Caenorhabditis elegans: one gene and its partner. Each later gene encodes a partner of the first gene's protein in a complex. Each region holds a gene or a part of one and is shown in the gene's direction. Other genes may lie near its edges.

Evidence for each region.
Region 2: mdt-4 (region 1) and cic-1 share a complex: the UniProt entries of both Caenorhabditis elegans proteins name them as parts of the mediator complex.

The regions. Positions count from the first base shown.
Region 1 is NC_003280.10:4,941,572-4,946,092, reverse strand, and holds mdt-4 (Mediator of RNA polymerase II transcription subunit 4), read left to right. Parts: upstream 1-2,143; 5' UTR 2,144-2,150; coding exon 2,151-2,228; intron 2,229-2,338; coding exon 2,339-2,593; intron 2,594-2,642; coding exon 2,643-2,897; intron 2,898-3,220; coding exon 3,221-3,457; intron 3,458-3,573; exon of another isoform or gene 3,574-3,740; coding exon 3,741-3,920; coding exon of another isoform or gene 3,921-3,930; 3' UTR 3,931-3,986; downstream 3,987-4,521. Other genes in the region: ZK546.2 (Disease resistance R13L4/SHOC-2-like LRR domain-containing protein), read right to left, coding at 1-66; SURF6 homolog gldi-11, read left to right, coding at 304-357, 413-524, 569-1,428, 1,471-1,767, 1,818-1,913; ZK546.19 (uncharacterized protein), read right to left, coding at 3,775-3,930, 4,218-4,322. UniProt on the Caenorhabditis elegans protein: Component of the Mediator complex, a coactivator involved in the regulated transcription of nearly all RNA polymerase II-dependent genes.
Region 2 is NC_003281.10:2,394,948-2,403,093, reverse strand, and holds the start of cic-1 (Cyclin-C), read left to right. Parts: upstream 1-1,872; 5' UTR 1,873-1,885; coding exon 1,886-1,917; intron 1,918-1,964; coding exon 1,965-2,071; intron 2,072-2,127; coding exon 2,128-2,239; intron 2,240-2,291; coding exon 2,292-2,413; intron 2,414-4,508; coding exon 4,509-4,703; intron 4,704-7,125; coding exon 7,126-7,307; intron 7,308-7,437; exon of another isoform or gene 7,438-7,487; intron 7,488-8,146. Other genes in the region: Sterol 4-C-methyltransferase strm-1, read right to left, coding at 933-995. UniProt on the Caenorhabditis elegans protein: Component of the Mediator complex, a coactivator involved in regulated gene transcription of nearly all RNA polymerase II-dependent genes.

The DNA.
Region 1 (4,521 bases):
GACTCGCGTTTTAGAAGCATTTGCAAGGCGTGCACGCACTGTTGGATTGTAGGAATCAATTCCCATCTGCAAATAATATTTTTATTAGGAAAAGTATTTATAAAAAAATTGGAAAAGAGCATAAAATCGTTGAAAATTCAAAAAGTTGCAAAAAAGTAAACGATGATTTTTAACGAAGGTACGACACTCCGCTACCAGAGAAGCGCGTGTTGTTTAGTACAACTTTTTTCGTTTCATTTTTTTCTTAATATTTTAAAAATTAGAGGATTCTCTTTATCAAAATACTAATTTTAAGCATTTTAGATGGCAGAAACATTAGAAGCTGTAGAAGATGCAGTGGACATTCTTGAAAAAGAGGTAGCGTACACACATCCTCGAAAAGTGGCCGAGAAACAAAACATTTTAATTTCAGATGCTCTCCTTCTGCAACCTGATTCCAGTTAACTCTTGGGGATTTGATGATGATGTCAAAGAATCATTGAAGATGCGAAAACACAGTTTGGTTAATCGACAACTCAGCAAAAGTAATTTATTGATAAATTTCTTTAAAATTCTGTATGTTTTTCAGAGGAAAGAAAGTCAATGTCTGCACAACAGAAACAACATCTGGCGAAAGGCTTAGGATTGGTTCCAAACACTGTTCAAGAAGTCCTCGAGTGGATGTCTAAAAGCAAGCAGCATTCGAAAGTGCAACCACAAAAGGTTGTTGCACCGGTGAAGAGACCAGCGGATCAGAACAAGAATAAAGAAAAAGTAGTGAAGAAAGACCAGAAAAAGCAAGATAAGAAAGCTGATTCTGATTCAGAAGAGGATGATTCATCTGACGACGAGGAGAAAGAAGAAACAGACGAGCCAGTTGCTAAGAAGCAAAAGAAAGAAGAATCTTCAGATGATGATGAAGACAGTGAAGATGGAGAAGAGCCTGAAGGAAATAATGGAGCTGTAGAGGCTGAGGACAGCGATTCAACGGACGAAGAAGAAGAAACACCATCTAAACCCAACAAAACCGTAGCACAATCTACTCTGAAATCGAATGGAAAAATTGACAAGGAGATTCAAAAGTTGGAAGACGATGAAGACAATGAATCCCCCGAAATCAGACGTCAAATCGCTTTGCTGAGACTGCAGAAAAAGCTGAAGGAAATGAAAGTTGAGCGGAAAGGAAAAGGACCGGCGAAGGTAACATCAGCGATGGCTGAAAAAATGGCAGAGGAGAAGCGTTTGAAAAGACGGGAGAGCAAGCTGAAGCTGAAACAAAGAAGAGCAGAGGAGAAGAAAGGAAAAGAGGCAGCAGCTCAAGTGAAGAAAGAGACTGTTGAAAGCACAGAAAATGGCAATGAGCCTGTCGAGAAGCAGAAATCTGGAATTTCATTCAATAATCTCAAGTTTGAAATCAAAGAAGACAAGCAGAGGGGCAAGAAACAAAGAGTGAGTAAAAATATTTTTATCTGAAATATCTGAAATTTTCAGACCGCCAAAAAAGATCGAGCTCTTAAACTTACCGGACGTGACTATAAATCACTTATCGCTAAAGTCGAAGAGACAAAAGCAACAATTGCCAAAGTTCGCGAAGCTGATCCACATAAGGCTACCATCATGGAAGATGAGCTAAAGTGGGAGAAAACACTGAAAAGAGCAGCTGGTGGAAAAGTGAAAGATAATTTGGGAATGCTCAAGAAGGCTTTGGTGAAGAAGAATAAGATGAAGGATAGAAGAAAGCAGAAATGGGAGAACCGAGAGAATAAGACGGAGGGAGAGAAGCAAACGGTATGTTGATTGGTAGAAAATCCTTTAAGATTTGAATTTTTATTTTTCAGAAGCAAGACAAGAGAAAGAAGAATCTCCAGAAGCGCATCGATGACGTCAAGAAGAGAAAGATGAACAAGTTGAGAAACAAGGGAAGAATCCTCTAAACAACACACATTTATCCGCTTTTAATTTCTCGTTGTTGAACATTTTTTTGTTAATTTTTACTGTTAACTTTTTTCTTTAAATCTGTGGCCTGTTGTTAAGTTTTTAAGTTTTCAAATTATACTAAATTCTTTGAAAAATATTCTCTTTTTTTTTGAAACTTGTGCCGTTGTTTCGGTAATTAATTATTTTAAAAGTTGTTAATGTATGTTCGATGGTTGTATTGTTCTAGATCTCAAATGGCAGAAACAGATGAACGAAGTCTACGGGATTTGCTCCTGGAATCTGCAGATGATTTGGAGCATATTGTTAAAATGGTACGTTCTAAAAAAATTTGAAACAATATTATAGTTTATTTTAAAATTACTTTTTACTGTGAGTTCATCTTATAGAATTCATGAACCCACATAATCAATTATTGTTTCAGATCGTCGATACACTCATCAATCGGGACAAAAGTGTTATGCTGAAAAATGGAGAAACCGTTACGAACATTATCAAGCTGTTTGACTCAAAACAGGATAGCATAAAGACTTTGCTGAAGAGGGTTCCTGAGTTTCAAGAACGAGAGCAGCTCATTCGGACGCTTGAAGCCCACGTGGAGAAACGAGACGAAGTTATTCAACAACTTGAAACGAATTTGAAGTCATGTGAGGTGGCTCTGACGCGATCTTGTTTTCATGTAAATTTTGTTGGAAACAAAGACTTTTTTCGAAATACGTTTATTTCAGGCAAACCAGAAGCTCAAGCAAATGAAAGAAGCTGAATTGAGACCAGTCAATAGTGAGATGCTCATCAAACTGGCTCATCAGATCAGTAAGCACAACTCCGTATCTGCACCACTCACTTGGCAAATGGGAGATCCATCGCGTCCGTTTCCTCAGGAACACGAATTTCGAGCTGGTCACCTATTGAATTCAAAAGTTCAGAGCACTGGACCTCAGCTTTTACCCGGAAAGAACGTCGCTCAGAGGCCGCTTATTACGGTATGTTTATGGAAACTTGTTGAAATGTGAATCCTCACCTGAAATATTTGATAAATGCATTTATAAATGCATTTATATAAATGCAATACTTCTAATGTTTTCTACGTTAATCTGAAATTCTTTTCACACTGTAACCGAACAGCTGTGAATCACGTGATTTATGTCTTATCTTCTTACATTATCTAACAGTCATTCCTTCTAATGATCAAATTATGAGTGATAAGAAATATTCAGTTCATATTGTGATCTCTTTCCTTCTACGTTATTCGTAGTAAATTTTATAAATAAAATTAAGATTCAACGTTCAATCAATATTATTTCAGTCTCCATCCGCATCCTCATCCAACGGTGGAACAGCTCCAATTCGAACTGTCGGCACTCCTCTTATTAATTCTGCTCCGACTGGAGATTTCAGTCCACGAACTGGTTTTGGCACCGACGAGCCTCCACCGATTCAACAGCAAGTACTCCGTGGAGCCACTCCAAATGAAAAGCAATGGCAGAATCCGGGAGTTTCAGGAGCCACCTCAACGCAATCCCCTTACAACCGTGTCTCGCAGGTCAGTGCAAACCGAGTGTACATAGACAGTGTTACTGGCGGCCCGCAAATGATGCACGGGTGGCGCAGTGGTAACGCGTTTGCCCGTTGTTCAGCTGTCCACCAGTTCGATTCTCAATGCACACAGAAAGTCGAGATTGCCGGCTTCAAAGGCTTTATCGTTGATTACGTGTGCTATAACAACGCCATAGGTATCATTCTTCGTCTTCTTAGGCGCGGAACATCTAAATATGGCTACATTTATCTGCTATTTTATAATTTTCCAATAAATAACATATTTTCAGAGTCCTTCTTCCTCGCCAAACGTGAAGCTGAAAATTACTGGACTTCCGAATCGTCCAGGAGGTATCGATCAAGTTCAAGATGTGCGGGATGTCGAACAAATGTCGTCGGACAGCTCCAACTCGTCAGATAGTTCAGATGATGAAGGCGCATCGAAAAAGACTGGCAGTAGCAATAAATAATGAAAGATCTCTGTAAATTCTGGTATTTTACTTATTGTACGTTGATAAATAAACACAATTTTCTATATATCTTGTGTTTAACAGTGACACTAACTGATTGCATGTGGTTCAGTGTCCACGCCATGTTTACCGCTATGCCAGCTGCCTTTCTTTCTTTCTTTATGTCCTCTAATCTATTTACTCCTTGAACTTTTTTTTCAACAATTCTAGTAACTAATTATATTTAGAAATATGCCAAATTTTGGAATATACCTAAGTTAGCTTTTGATTCAAATCTTATTTTAAAAAAACACTCACCCCATCTAGAGACGCAGAAACGAAAGGGACCACCCATGACAAGAGAGATGCGGAGTACGTGAAAAGATGCACAAAACATGTTGCAGTGAAAGTGTTGTTAGCCATCACTTTTTTTTGTTTTTGTGGGCTCAAATCAGTTTGAAGAAAAGTTGAAGTTGTAAAATTTCGCCTCCTTTCGTTTTTTATGTCATTTTATATTACTTGCCCTTTGGTAATAGATAAGAAATTATCTCTCCCATCAGACACATTCCCACACATCTTCTTTTGACTTGCCTCCACACAACTAATCTAGATATAGATGGGC
Region 2 (8,146 bases), on another chromosome or scaffold:
ACTAAATGCTTAAATTGCCTATGAAATTGCGGAAAATTCAGTTTTAAGCATGACATTGCGTTAAAATATTGATTTTTCTGCATTTTGTCGTAAGATCTGGTGTGTTGAAGTGTTTGCGTACTTTTGAGGCTACAGTATCCCGCGAAAGTTGAATTTAGCGTAGGAAAGTCGGAAAAAAGTGTTTCAGGGGTAGAACTTGACGACGAATCTGATTTTGATACTAATTTTAAGTTAAAAAATTTAAAAAAAATTGATGTTTTTCCAAAAAAAAAAATTTTCAAAAAAATTTTTTTTTCAATTTTTTTTTTCCGGAAAAGTAAATACCTTTCTTATTATAAAACTATTATTGACATTGTCATTAACAAGGTCACAATAATTATTTGTTCTTCACCAATTTTCGGCGGCGGCGCAAATAACAGAAAAAAGTAGGTCAAATTCATTTCGTCACCTTATATTCCGTTGGTTTCAATAAAACAGAAGAACACGAAGGGTTTCGTACTGATAAGATGTGATAGTACATAATAACATTAATAAGAAATAAATGTACTTTTGGGGGGGAATTTTAAAAAAAAATTGAAAAAAAAAAATTTTTTTTTTGAAAAAATTTTTTTGAGTTTTTTTTTTTTTAAAGTACCATAACTTTTCTCATTTTTAAGATTTTTTTTATAATTTTTAAAGCAGATTGTAGATAAATATTTTATTCAAATAAAAAGTTACAATCGTACTAAAAAAATGTTGAAAATTTCAAAAAATAAAATTTTTTTTGGAATAAAAAATTTTTAGAAAAAATCCTATAACTTTGCTCATTTTTAAGCTATAAAAATGTTTTTTTAAACAAAACAAAGAAAAATCTTCGCATTTTTATTGCATTAATTAAGACTTAAACAAAAATAGGTCGGAATTTCAAATTTTTGGGAAAAAATTCAACTTACCAAATCGTGACGCCGAAAATGGGTGAGAAGCTTCAAAAAGTTGGCATTCATATTGATGGACATGTTTATAGACGAAGAAATTGGCTGGAAATCTGAAAATTTGAAAAAAAAACATTTCGAACAAAAATTTTCTGAAAAAAAAATTTCGAAAAAAAAAATTTTTTTCGAAAATTTTAAATTTTTCCTAAAATCTCCAATATACTAATTAGCACCTAACAAAGCCAATTTCACACTTTAAAACTCCCCAAAAAGCTCCTTTATACGACTTTTTCCAGCCAATTTGTACCACTTTTCTATTTGCTCAGTGACTACAGCGTCAAAAAGGTCAAAAAGGTGCGAATTTCTTATCAAATGATGATTTCTGCTCAGTTTTGCAAACAAAATTGCCGGATTTTCATCCAAGAAATGGGTGACTGTGTCATATTGGATAGTTTTCACTAGCACCCCCGCCAGACTCCGCCTAGTTTCGGGAAAAAGTGAAAGTTCAAGTGGTCAGAGGGATTGGAGACGGGTGAAATGTAGTTGACATAAACCTAAAGCAAATTGGAAGCATTTTGACACAAAAATCATAAACTCATGAGAAACTCTGAAAAATGAGCCAAATTATTATTAATTATTGTGGCTTTGCAGAAAAATTTCGATTTGTCTCGGTTTTAATGGAATTTTTTGAATTTTAACACAGAAGAAGGATTTTGACTACGTTTTGTTGAATTTTTCACAAAAAAAAACTTCAAAACCCCCTCTAAACTAGCCATAATCCACCAGCTTTAAAAAATCGATTTAAACTACCGCGTAAAGACATACAACGACACTCCGGAATCCCGCAGGCGCGTGTTCTTTACCGTAAATCCACACTCCGAATTTATTCTTATTTATTCGAATTTTCATCGATTTCACTCAATTTCCACTGTTTTTCTCGATTTTTTCATTTTTTTAATGATTTTAGTTGAAAAATGGCTTTAAATTTCTGGAAAAGCAGTCATTGGTAAGTAAATCCCATTGAAAAACCCAAAAAAATCCCATTTTTTCCAGCCAACAATGGATTTTCGATAAAACCGAGATTTGGAAGCAACGCGCCGAGGATATGAAGATTTATAACGAGGAAGAGTACAATCGATTGAATATTTTCTGGGCGAATTGTAATTTTTCCTTACTTTTTCCTCGAAAAAATCGATAATTTTTGGTTTTTTTTCAGTTATAACCGCCGTCGCCACAGAAGGAGCCCACTCACAGGCAAATGTTGGATGTAAACTCCGTCAACAGGTTATTGCAACTGCGATTATCTATTTTAAGCGATTTTATCTAAGGTTTATTCGGAAAAAAATGATAAAAAACCTGGAAAAACGTCGAATTTTTCAGGCAATCGTTCCGTGACATGTGCCCATTCCTCGTAGCCTCTACAGCATTATTTTTAGCGTGTAAAGTTGAAGAACACACTACGTTGAGCGTCTCAAGCTTTCTGAAAAATACAGCTATCGTTTGTGCGTTTTTACGACGGAAAAATTGCAAAAAATTGGCAGAAAAACGCGGAAATCCGGCTGAAAATTGGAAAATTTAGTGAAAAATAGGCTTTTGAACCGAAAAAACACCCGGAAAAAACATCAATTTTTCACTTAAAAACCGCTGAAATCCAAATTTTTCAGCTAGAAACTCTAAAAATCACCTCAATAACCAAAAAAAAAAAACAGTTTTTGAGTCAAGTTTTGTCTCAAAAAAATTTGAAATTCCACTCTTGCAGCTCATTTTCCGCTTATTAATCCAAAAAATCGCCTGAAAATCGATTTTTAAGCTGAAAAACTCGAAAAACTCGAAAAATTTGCCTCTTTTTCACTCAAAAATTCGATGCTTTCCTAAAAACGCCAAAAATAAAAAAATTACGGCCAATTTTCAGAAAAATTTAATTAAAAAAACTAAAAACGCCCAACTTACCAGAAAAAAACCCGTTTTAGTCCAAAAAATCGCCTAAAAATCAAATTTTCCACTTAAAAATTCGATTTTTCTGTTAAAAACGGTTAAAAGTTCAGGAAATACCCATAAAGACCCGTTTTAGTCCTAATATTCGTCTAAAAATCGTTTTTTGTGTGGAAAAATCGGATTTTGTCAATTTTTAACCTGAAAAATTCGATTTTTCGCTAAAAACGCCGAAAATTTCAAAAATTCGATAAAAAACTCGTTTTCACTTCAAAAAAATTGCCTGAAAATCTATTTTCGACAGAAAAAACCAAAATTTATCAATTTTCCACTCAAAAATTCATCTTTTTTTTGCTAAAAAAACCAAAAACTTAAGAAAATTTAATTAAAAACCCGGTTTACTTCAAAAAATCGCCTTAAATCAATTTTACCCTCAAAAATTCAATTTTTCTGTTAAAAACGCCAGAAATTGTAAAAAATTCGACCAAAAATGCGTTTTAGTCCAAAAATCCACCTGAAAATCAAATTTTCCACTAAAAAATTCAATTTTTCTGCGGAAAACGCCGAAATGTTCAGAAAATATTCATAAAATACCCCTTTTTAGTCCTAAAATCCGTCTAAAATGTAATTTTTCTGCTAAAAACGCTAAAAATCACAGAAAATTAGAATAAAAACCTCTTCTTAGGCCAAAAAATGGCCTAAAAATCAAATTTTCTAATCAAAAATTCAATTTTTCTTTTAAAAAACCAGTTTTTCAGCAGAAACAACAGAATTTTGTCAATTTTCCACTCAAAAATTCAATGTTTATGCTAAAAAATACCCAAAATTTCGAAAAATTCTATTAAAAACGCGTTTTACTTCAAAAAATCGCCAAAAAATCAAATCTCCCACTCAAAAATTCAATTTTTCTACTAAAAACGTCAAAAATTCGATAAAAAACCCGTTTTAGTCCAAAAATTCGTCTAAAACTCAATTTTTTCTACTAAAAATGCAAAAAATTTCAAAAAATTCGAAAAAAACCCGCCTGAAAACCAATTTTCCCCTCAAAAATTCGATTTTTCTGCTAGAAATTCTAAAAATTTCGAAAAATTCTATTAAAAACGCGTTTTACTTCAAAAAATCGCCAAAAAATCAAATTTCCCACTAAAAAATTAATTTTTCTACTAAAAACGTCAAAAATTCGATAAAAAACCCGTTGTAGTCCAAAAATTCGTCTAAAAATCAATTTTTCTCTCAAAAATTCAATTTTTTCTACTAAAAATGCAAAAAATTTCAAAAAATTCGGGAAAAAACCCCGTTGTACTCCAAAAAATCCGCCTGAAAACCAATTTTCCGCTAAAAAATTCAATTTTTCTACTAAAAATGCAAAAAATTTCAAAAAATTCGGGAAAAAACCCCGTTGTACTCCAAAAAATCCGCCTGAAAACCAATTTTCCGCTAAAAAATTCAATTTTTCTACTAAAAAACCCATAAATTGTCCGAAAAAACGCGTTTTACTTCAAAAAATCGCCAAAAAATCAAATCTCCCACTCAAAAATTCAATTTTTCTACTAAAAACGTCAAAAATTCGATAAAAAACCCGTTTTAGTCCAAAAAATCGCCTAAAAATCAAATTTTCCCCTCAAAAATTCAAATTTCGCGCCCCTAAATCCCTTCATTTTTCAGTGCCAAAACGATGGGGAGTGACATTTGAGACGACATCGACAAAAAATGGAGTTGTCTACGATTCCGAGTTTATTCTCGTTGAAATTCTTGATTGTTGCCTTGTTGTACATCATGCATCACGTCCAATGTTTGAATTATTAGAAGATTTGAAACAATTTACTCAACAATCAACTATTGCTAATCAACCTATTAAAGGTGCCCCCCCCCCCCCCCCCGGGAAATTTTTGATAAAAACTGTGAAAAATTGGAGAAATTGCGATTTTTCCAGGAAAAATTGGGAAAAAAATCGATAAAAATTGGAAAAATTTGAATTTTTTGAGAAAAAAAAAGGAAATATCTGAAATTTTTTAGGGAACAGTGGAATTTTTTTGATTTTTTTTTTGAATTTTTTGGTGAAAAAAATGGAAAATTGTGGAATTTTTAGTGAAAAATTGGAAAATTTTGAATTTTTCAGTAAAAAAGTGGAAAATTTGGAAAATTTTGAATTTTTAATGAAAAAATGGAAAATTTTGGAATTTTTAGTGAAAAATTGGAAAAATTAAATTTTTTAGCGAAAAATTCGATTTTTAAGTGAAAAATCTAATTTTTTTAGTTAAAAATTGGAAAATTTTGAATTTTTAGAGAAAAAAAAAGGAAATATCTGAAATTTTTTAGGGAACAGTGGAATTTTTTTGATTTTTTTTTTGAATTTTTTGGTGAAAAATTGAAAAAAAATTGGAATTTTTGGGTGAAAAATTTGGAAAAATTTGAATAATTAGGGGAAAATTGGAAAAAATTGGAATTTTTTAGTGAAAAATTGAAAAAATTAGAAATTTTGAATTTTTTTAATGAAAAAATGGAAAATTTTGGAATTTTTAGTGAAAAATTGGAAACATCGAATTTTTTTTGAATTTCTTAGTGAAAAATTGGATTTTTTAAGTGAAAAATCTAATTTTTTAGTTAAAAATTGGAAATTTTTGAATTTTTTGAGAAAAAAAAGGAAATATCTGAAATTTTTTAGGGAACAGTGGAATTTTTTTGATTTTTTTTTTGAATTTTTTGATGAAAAATTGAAAAAAATTGGGATTTTTTCGTGAAAAATTGGAAAATTTTGAATTTTTCAGTAAAAAAGTGGAAAATTTGCAATTCAATTTTTGAAGAAAATTTGATTTTCCCCTACAAAAAATATGCCAAAAATTAGGAAACCTCAATTTTTTCGAAGAATTTTTCGGAATTTTTTTCTTAAAAATTTAAAATGTTTTTAAAACAAAACTGAATTTTCACAAAAAAAATCCTAATTTTTCACGAAAAAATTCCAATTTTTTTTTCAATTTTTCACCAAAAAATTCAAAAAAAAAATCAAAAAAATTCCACTGTTCCCTAAAAAATTTCAGATATTTCCTTTTTTTTCTCTAAAAATTCAAAATTTTCCAATTTTTAACTAAAAAATTAGATTTTTCACTTAAAAAATCCAATTTTTCACTAAGAAATTCAAAAAAAAATCCATTTGTCCAATTTTTCACTAAAAATTCCAAAATTTTCCATTTTTTCATTAAAAAAATTCAAAATTTCTAATTTTTTCAATTTTTCACTAAAAAATTCAAATTTTCAAAAAAAAATTCCAATTTTTCACTAAAAAATCGAATTTTTCCAATTTTTCACTAAATATTTAAATTTTTCCAAATTTTCCACTTTTTTACTGAAAAATTCAAAAATTTCCAATTTTTTTCAATTTTTCACCAAAAAATTCAAAAAAAAAAAATCAAAAAAATTCCACTGTTCCCTAAAAAATTTCAGAAATTTCCTTTTTTTTTTCTCAAAAAATTCAAATTTTTCCAATTTTTTCAATTTTTCCCAAAATCATTCAAAATTTTCCAATTTTTAACTTAAAAATTAGATTTTTCACTTAAAAAATCCAATTTTTCACTAAAAAATTCAAAAAAAATTCGATTTTTCCAATTTTTCACTAAAAATTCAAAATTTTCCAATCTTTCACTAAAAAATTCGATTTTTCCAATTTTTCACTAAAAATTCCAAAATTTTCCATTTTTTCATTAAAAAATTCAAAATTTCTAATTTTTTCAATTTTTCACTAAAAAATCCAATTTTTCACCAAAAAATTCAAAAAAAATTCGATTTTTCCAATTTTTCACTAAAAAATCCAAAATTTTCCATTTTTTCATTAAAAAATTCAAAATTTCTAATTTTTTCAATTTTTCACTAAAAAATCCAATTTTTCACCAAAAAATTCAAAAAAATTCGATTTTTCCAATTTTTCACTAAATAATCCAAAATTTTCCAATCTTTCACTAAAAAATTCGATTTTTCCAATTTTTCACTAAAAATTCCAAAATTTTCCATTTTTTCATTAAAAAATTCAAAATTTCTAATTTTTTCAATTTTTCACTAAAAAATCCAATTTTTCACCAAAAAATTCAAAAAAAATTCGATTTTTCCAATTTTTCACTAAAAAATCCAATTTTTCACCAAAAAATTCAAAAAAATTCGATTTTTCCAATTTTTCACTAAATAATCCAAAATTTTCCATTTTTTCATTAAAAAATTCAAAATTTCTAATTTTTTCAATTTTTCACTAAAAAATCCAATTTTTCACCAAAAAACCTCCATTTTTTTGCAGATCTGGAAGCAATTGAAGCTCAATGTCAAAAAGTGGCAAATGATTCGCTAAGATGTGATGTTTCATTGATTTTTCCACCACATGTCATTGGATTATCAAGTATTATGGTTGCAATGGAATTAATGGGCCGTGGAGAAGAATTGGAAGCTTGGCTTGTCGAAGTTGACACTGATTTTGAAAAGGTCTCGGATTTCTACCGGAAAATTGAGATTTCCCGTGAAATTCTACCCAATACTCGAGAAATTTGCCAATTTTTAGAGAATTTGCAAGAAAATCCAGCAAATTCCGCGAAAATAGACAATTTTTTAAGCATTTTTAGCCGAAAAAAAGTTGGTGGCCTAACTTTTTTACTTTCTAGGCCACCAATAGGAATTTTCGAACATTTTTCTTTAAATGTGGAAAACCCCGAGTTTTTTAACCCATTTTGCCAATTTTCAGCCGAAAAATGATGGTGGCCTAACTTTTTGCAATTTCTAGGCCACCAATCGGAATTAAGGGAATTTTTGTGATTTTAGAAAGTCAAGAACGGAAACTTTGACATTTTTGGCATTTTCTTGAAAATTGAACTCAAAAATTGCAAAAACCTGAATTTTTGTGCAATTTGAGCTGGAAAATCCCCGAAAATCGATGCTTCTGTGATTTTCAGTGAAAAAAAACTGAAAAATCGAATTTTTCGGACCTTTTTACCCATGTGGCCGAGTTTTTTGGCTGATGGCCGAACTTTTGTAATTTCTAGGCCACCGATTGGGAATAAGGTCATTTTTTGAACTTTAACGTTTTTTTTTGTGTTTTTTACTGAATTTTTGATTAAAAAAATCGAGTTCTCTGCAAAATTTGAACCCAAAAACTAATTGGTAGCCGAACTTTTTGGTTTTCTAGGCCACGTGTCAAATTAATTTTCAAAAACTGGAATATTGCCCACTTTTTGGCCAACAAACCGAATTTTTAGTCGAAAAATCGGATTCTCGGTGGTTTTTGGAATTTGGTGGCCGAACTCTTTTGATTTCCTAGGCCACCAATC